2 linked regions of the Sus scrofa genome follow. The protein of the gene in region 1 interacts with the protein of each later gene in a pairwise test. Links are inferred from orthologs where the notes say so. Each region holds a gene or a part of one and is shown in the gene's direction. Other genes may lie near its edges.

Region 1 (2,834 bases):
AGACTGTTCCTGCTAGATTGCCACATCTTCTACGGTTGTAGGTATCGTGTTGCTCTTCTGTGTTGAAAGCCAGCTTCCCCACACACACCATTTTGAGAAATCACTTCAATTTCTAGATCTTTATGTACAGAGTTCTTTTTGTTTTTATTTTTTGCCATTTGCCAATCACATAGTTGGGATTTTTAAAGGCTGGCAGTATGTTATAAGCCGCTTCCCCTTTTAAAAAGCCGGCGTAGGACCCTCTCTTGAGCACATCTGTTCTTCTTTATGCACACCAGGAAAGGATTAACCCAGCTGCTCTGTGCTTTTCAGATCTGGCTGAAGAACGGCTTGGGGACAGCAGCACCACCGACAACACAGAGACCTTCAGCGACAAAGACACGGACCAGAGGAGCTCCCCGGATGTGGCCAAAAGTAAGGGCTGCTTCACCCCTGAGAGCCCTGAGATCGTGTCAGTGGATGAAGGCGGGTACGCGGCCCAGAAGAACGGAGGCAGCTCCGAGAGCCGCCCTGACAGCCCCAAGTATCCAGGGGAGCAGAACCACCTCCTGATCGAGGGCCCCTCGGGGACCGTCTCACTGCCCTTCAGCCTGAAAGCCAACAGGCCGCCTCTGGAAGTGTTAAAGAAGATATTTCCCAACCAGAAGCCCACGGTGCTGGAGCTGATCCTCAAGGGCTGTGGCGGCGACCTGGTGAGCGCCGTGGAGGTCCTCCTCTCCAGCCGCTCCTCCGGCTCGGCCGCAGAGCGAACTTCAGCAGAGCCCGAGGGCCTGGTGTTACCCTCCAATGGGCACATCTTCGAGCACACGCTGAGCTCCTACCCCATCTCCTCCTCCAAGTGGTCCGTGGGCTCGGCCTTCAGGGTCCCAGACACGTTGAGGTTTTCCGCGGACTCTAGTAACGTGGTCCCCAACCCCTTGGCGGTGCCCCTGCAACACCCCTTCCCCCAGCCGCCCCGGTACCCTCTGATGCTGAGGAATACTTTGGCGAGAAACCAGTCGAGCCCCTTTCTGCCCAACGATGTCACCCTGTGGAACACCATGACGCTGCAGCAGCAGTACCAGCTGAGGTCCCAGTATGTCAGCCCTTTCCCCACCAACTCAGCCAGCGTCTTCAGAAGCTCACCTGTCCTCCCTGCCCGTGCCCCAGAAGACCCTAGGATTTCCATCCCTGAGGATGGGTGTCCCATTGTGTCAAAGCAGTCCATTTACACCGAGGACGACTATGATGAGAGGTCTGACTCCTCAGACTCTAGAATACTCAACACATCATCTTAGAAGTGGCGCCTGATGGGTGGTGACCAGGTGACATTTTCTGTGCATTTGAACCCCGGGCTCCCCCTTGAGGAGGGCCCACATCCTGTGTATACCTTTTCCTTCTGTTTGACAAAGTGACTGTGCTTGATTCTATACCTTAGCAATAAAAACATAACTTATTTAATTTCTTGCACTTCACTGGAAAATGCCAAATAGCTCTGCTCTGTGGCTTTAGTGCTGAATGTTCATTGTAAAAGAGAGTCTAATGCTAAGAATAGGCGAGAAAGCCTTGGGCCCATGGAAGATTTATTTGGGGATGTAAAGCTGAAGGTCAGCCTTGCTCCTAAACTCAATCTGGAATGTTCAATAAAATAGTATACTTGAATGCAATTTTGTAAAGGAGGATTCCTCAGGATATGTGAAACCTCAAGGAAGTGGTTCAGTTGCAAACAGACTATAAACAGGGACCTTATATTCATGTGCTAAATATTCTTCTTGCATTTTAAAGAGAAACTGCATTTAATAGAGTGAACTGCTCTCATGCTTATTTAAGCTTGGACAGTTTTCAGAGACAAACTCCATTAAGAATTATTCTTTTCACATGGCTGAATCGAAACATGTGTTATGTCAATGTAAAACCAATCACAGCTGTGAACTGCATGAACTGTATTGTGAAATGAACACAAGATTAAGCTTTGTCAGGTTAATGTAGCATGCTAAGGAGCCTAGGAAAAAAATAAACTAAGGAGATGATCTTGGTTTATGTCATTTCTGTTTGTTGAAAGAGGATGTCTAAAATAGAAACTTGATATAAAAGCTGCTTTCTAATGCATGGATCAAGGTTTCCGTTGAATGCGACATTCCTCGAGAAAAATGAATGGCAAAGTTTTGGGGACTGCATTCAGAAAGATAGAATGTATTGTTCAAGAATAGAGATAACTCAGCTATCCATCCATTTGTTTGTTTCTTCAAAAGATACTTATCGAGAGCCTACTATGTGTAAGACAAGGCTCTTTGTCTGCTATTGACCAAGTTACCTGCCCATGAGTTGAAGATGGCAGGGATTACATGATGGAGAATCTCATTAAAAACAAAGTAAAAATGAAACAATCTGCAGTGTGGGAAGTAAGCACAGTGCTTAGCATGGTACCCAACATAGAGACAGCACTCAATCAACGAGAGCAGTTCCTCCTATTCAGTTCAATATATTCTGCTATTTGCCGTCAGGATGCAGAAGTGAATTTCCTCATTCTCAGTTGGAGAAGATGCCATTGCAGTTTAGGAGGTGACTGCAACAAACCATTGGAAACAGGGCTTTTCCCCTTCATTTAAAAAAGCATTTCAGGGGGAGGACACTAATATGGCAAACCTCTTGCTCAGATATTTTTATTTTATTTATTTCATTTGTTTTTATTCACTTTTTTGCTCAGGTATTTTTAAAAGTGAGTTTTAATAATGTGCAGTGGTGTTCCCACCAACCATTTCTTACTGTTTCCACTCTCCTGAGTGCTTGAGAAGAAAGATGACTGCTCAGGTCAGACAATAAACTTATGAACGTGGAAGGGAAAGTAAATAAGA
Region 2 (4,538 bases), on another chromosome or scaffold:
CGCTGGAGTAACACATTAATCCGCCAACACCAATTCATCATCGTTTTTCCCATTAGCGGAGAGCAGGGCGATGAGCTAATGAAACATGGGACAGGTGAATTTTGATCGAGAAGGAGCAGGAAAAGCAGAACGTGAGTCACTGCTGGGGAGAAATGGACAGGAGGTGGGGGGAGGCAGGCCGGGTGAGCAGCAGAGGGGCTGGGGGCGGGGGGCCTAGGTGGACTGGACAAGGGCTGGGCGGCCCAGAATAAAGGTTTTCTCCTGGAGTTCCCGCTGTGGCTCAGTGGGTTGAGAACCTCACTCATATCCATGAGGATGTGAGTTCCATCCCTGGGCTCGCTCGGGGGGTCAAGGACCTGGCGTTGCTGAGAGCTGCAGCGTAGGGTGGAGATGTGGCTCGGATCTGGTGTTGCTGTGGCGGTGGTGTAGGCTGGCAGTTGTAGCTCTGATGTGACCTCCTAGCCTGGGAACTTCCATATGCTGCAGGTGCAGCCCTAAAAAGACAAAAAGGAGGTTTTCTCCTCTGGAAAGTTCTCATGTCATCCATATCATTTCACACATGGCCAGAGGCCTGGAGCTCTTCCCAGCTGGGCCTCCCATGTCTGTGCCTGGTCAGGCGTGTCCAGCAAGGGCTCTTCCTGCCTGAGCTGCCCGCTCACATCCAGGCCTGGCTCTGGGAGCTGCTCACAGGGACCTCTGCCCCCTCCCCTGCAATAGTAGACACCTCTCCAGAGTCAAGAAGCAGATGGGGGCTGGGGTTGGGGAGGAGGGGGGGTGCATTCTTTACAGAGTTGGAAGGGGCCCAAGTGAACCTGGGGCCACTCTCATTTCATAGCAGAGAAACCAGGGCCAGGGAGTCCCCCTGACTTGTACGTGTTCCTGGCTGGTTCATAGAGGGTCTGAGATGAGACGCCTCAGAGCGCGCTCCTGCTTCTCGGCTGCTTCTCGGTGGACAAGCCTGTGTCACAGGCCAACTTTGAACTCAGTAAGCGAAGGGGAGCAGCTGCAGTTTCTGTCCAGAGAGAGCCAGCGGATGGGCGAGGGCTGCGAAGCGACATCATTGTGGGTGCGAAGGGGCCGGTGCAGAAGCCCACTGCGGCAGCCGAGGCAGCGGTAGTGGCCAGAGGGAGGGCCTTGGCCCCGGGCAGAAGTGGGAGTCTCCTCCCAGCGCCGACCTCCTTTGTGCTCAGCAGGAGCCCGAGCCGCCGGAGGCCCACAGAGCTGGTGGCACCCGGATGCTTCGGAAAGCGGCGCCCGAGAAGTTGGAAGGTTGGAGGGAGACGCAGGGCCCCCGCCCCTCGGTCTCCGGAGCCCCGCCCCGGGCCGGGAGAGCGCGCTGCTGGGACGTGGCCACGAGGTGGCGCCAGCGCGCCGAGGAAGCGCCGCGGCCGCTCCTCGGCCGCCCCAGCCGCTGCTCCGCCGCCTCCTCCGAGGAAACAATGCGGCGCCTCCGGGCGTAACGCGGTGCGGGCCGGACGCCGGACACCTGGGCGCGGGCAGCCGAGCGAGCAGGCGGCAGGGCGGGCGCCGGGCTCTCTCGCCCGGAGCCATGGGCGCGGCGCGGCGCGGGGTGGAGGATCGGCGCGGCCCGGAGGCGCGGGGGGCCGGGGCGCGGGCCCGGGGCCGCCTCTAGCCGGCACCGAGGGCGCGGGCCCGGGGATGAGGGCGCCCGCGGCGGGGAGCCCGTCTGCGCGCCGCGGCGCCGTCCCGCCCAGCGAGCGAGCCCGAGCAGGCAGACGCGCGGCCGGCGGTCTGGGGGCGCGCCGTCTCCCGGCCCCCAAGATGTGAAGCGGGGAGGGCGGAGACGCAGAGACGGCCCGGCCGGGCGCCCTCGCTGCCCTCCGGCAGCCGCGCCGCTCCCCTTCCCCTGCCCGCCGAGGCCGCGCCGACCCCGACCTCGCTCCGATCCGGCTCCGGCCCGCAGCGGGTTCGCGGCCCGGACGCGGCGGGAGCAGGGCCCGGGACGGTGCGTCTGGCCTCGCCCGCGGCTCCTCGCCCAGACAAGTTTGAACAATGATCACAGTCAACCCCGATGGGAAGATAATGGTCAGAAGATGCCTGGTCACCCTGAGACCTTTTCGGTAAAGTTCTCTCCCGGTTGGCGCCGGGAGGTCTTTTTCTCCGAAGGGGCGCGGGCAGGGGCGAGTGCGGTCAGTCCCGGCCGGGGTGCCTGTCCCGGGAGCAGAGGGGGCGGTTCGTGCCTGAGCCCTTGGCGGCGGCCAGCGGGGCAGGGGAAGGGATGGAGCTGGGGCTCCGGGTCGCCTGGGGAGCGTGTGTGATCCTGGGACGTGGACCGAGTTTGGTCTAGGTTGGAGAAGACTCGGGGTGCGAAGGTGGGAATGGGGGCAGACAGCAGCCGCGTTGTGGTCCTGGGACCGGGAAGTCGCAGCAGCAGCCAGGGCGCCCCTTCCCTGCCCCTCGGGGTCCTTCGCCCCTCACCCCACCCGCCGATGGCCCCACTCCCGAGGCAAAGTTAGCGCTCAGCGCGGGGCGGCACCCCACCCGGCGGGCGCGTGGAGCCCCGAGTCGGCCCGCCCACCCCCTGCCTGTGCCTTGACCTCTACCCCAGCCTCCTGCCGGCACCCTTCTCTCTTGGCGGGGTGCGGGCCTATCGCCAAAGGGAGGGCCCCCGAAATTGGGGCAGGGGCCCTCTCTGCTGGGAATTCGATCCGCTCTCGCGGGCCTCGGAGAGGCTGGGGCAGGGGCGGCGCTGTGGGTGCAAGGGCGGAGAGAGCAGCGGAGGCAGGAGGGGCGCGAAGACCGACCCCCACCCCCACCCCCACCCCAACCTCAGCGGTCAAGGCCAGCAGGACTGTGGCCTCTTGCGGATGGCTGGGCTCTGCTGGTCCCACCCCCGGGCAGCTCTCACCCCTCCCCAACACTGTCATAGCCCGGCCTGTAGCTGGGGTTGGGGAGGGGGCGCTAAGGGAGGGGTGCCCAGCAGGGTGGGATTGCCTCCTCGCCCAGGGGCTGGTCAGCCGAGAGGGAGTAGCCAGCCAGAGAAGGTGGGGGGGGACTCACTCTGGACCTGGCCACAGGTGGGGTCCCAGCGCTATAGTTGAAGAGACAGCCTCTAGGCTGGACCACCACTGTCTGGAGGATGGGGGGGGGACAGAAGGGCTGGGGTTCCCCCAGGGTAGAGCCTTGGGCAGGTGACTGGGTGTCAGGACAACCTCCCCCACCCAACATTCCCCTGGAAAGCAGGTTGGAAGCTATTGTCTCTGAAAAGGGCCTTGTTCCTCCTGGGAAATCCTGAAATTCCTGCCCACCCAGACGGGCGAGGGGGTCCTCGGCCAGTGTCTCTTACCCAGTGTTGACCCCTCCCTTAAGGCCATGGGAAGCTCAGACGCTGACCCCAGCTCGGCTGGGCATTCCGCTGCACGATTGGAGGTGGTGGCTGAGAGCCAGGACCATGGACAGCGCCAGGTCCATAGCGGGTTCTCCCTCTGGATCCTGGGGGTGGGGGGGCTTCTTAAGGCTCTTGCCTGAAGGCAGAATTCAGAGGTGGGGTTGCATAGGCTCCCCTCCCTGCCAGGTTATCCCTGGGCCGCCCAGAGAGCACAGCCAGCAGTGAGGTCGCCAAGTCCCCTTCCGATGGGGGTCCGTAGAGCCTGCAGCTTTATCTCCCTACTTGTCAATCCTCAAGGGCAAACTAGGAGCCCTTTCCTCGCCGGCTTTCCCAGAGCCTCTGGCTCGGCCGTATTCCTTGGTTGCTTCTCGAATGTTGTCTGAGTGGATACATGGTTGGACGAAACCATTTTAACTTGAAGCTACGATAAATGGCCCCGGGATTGGGGGTCTGGCAGAGAGGCAGGTGAGGTATTTGGGGGCTTCAGGTCCTGGGCTGAAGGCCTAGGTTCCTTTCTCACAGGAGGTCTTTGGACGCTGGCTGCCCAGGTCCCCGGTTCTGAATACAGAGCTGGGGAAGGGAAGCGAGGGTGGGGACAAGACGTTCGAAGCGCTCCATCCTTGTCCCCAGGCTGGGAGGACAAACTGCTGCTTCCTCCCAAGATCTTCCTGGGGGAGGGACCATGCTCCTGCTCCACTGTCCCTCTGGCTGCTGGCCTGAGGCCAGCTTGACTTTGTCTTGGGGATCCAGGGAGGGGTCCCGGGAGCTGAGGGAGCAGTGTTCCCCTGTGGCGTCTTGCCTGTCGTCTCCTGGGGGAAGCTTCCAGGGCCATCTCTGCTTTGGGGTTCTGCCCCCTTCGCTCTGCCATACCCTCTAACAGCTGCCTTTAAACACAGATTGGGGATTTGGCTGTGCTTTTATTTTCTTCCGCAATTATGTGTTTTCTTTAATGGACCAAATTTTAATTAAATACGGCTCTGCCAGTTTCAAATAATGAAGATTAAAATGCATAAAGCAAGTCTTGCGTAGAGATACAAACACATATGGGGTTAGTGGATGGAGGTGGGTGGGTGGGGGGCAGGAGGGCTGAGGTCTCTGGCATGGCTGGTGGGGCTCCCCCTGGTGCATCCGGCTACACAGGAGATGAGTCGCCCAGACCTGGGCGGGGGGGTGGCTCCCCTTTCAGCCC

What was found.
Region 2: the proteins of DMRT3 (region 1) and MGAT5B interact in a two-hybrid assay, tested with the Homo sapiens proteins (2 studies listed by BioGRID). The two-hybrid records come from large-scale screens. The link is inferred for Sus scrofa from reciprocal best matches to the Homo sapiens genes DMRT3 and MGAT5B.

Annotation. Positions count from the first base shown.
Region 1 is NC_010443.5:220,819,000-220,821,833, reverse strand, and holds the end of DMRT3 (doublesex- and mab-3-related transcription factor 3), read left to right. Parts: intron 1-312; coding exon 313-1,277; 3' UTR 1,278-2,309; downstream 2,310-2,834. UniProt on the Homo sapiens protein: Probable transcription factor that plays a role in configuring the spinal circuits controlling stride in vertebrates.
Region 2 is NC_010454.4:4,727,260-4,731,797, reverse strand, and holds the start of MGAT5B (alpha-1,6-mannosylglycoprotein 6-beta-N-acetylglucosaminyltransferase B), read left to right. Parts: upstream 1-1,702; 5' UTR 1,703-2,013; coding exon 2,014-2,081; intron 2,082-4,538. UniProt on the Homo sapiens protein: Glycosyltransferase that acts on alpha-linked mannose of N-glycans and O-mannosyl glycans.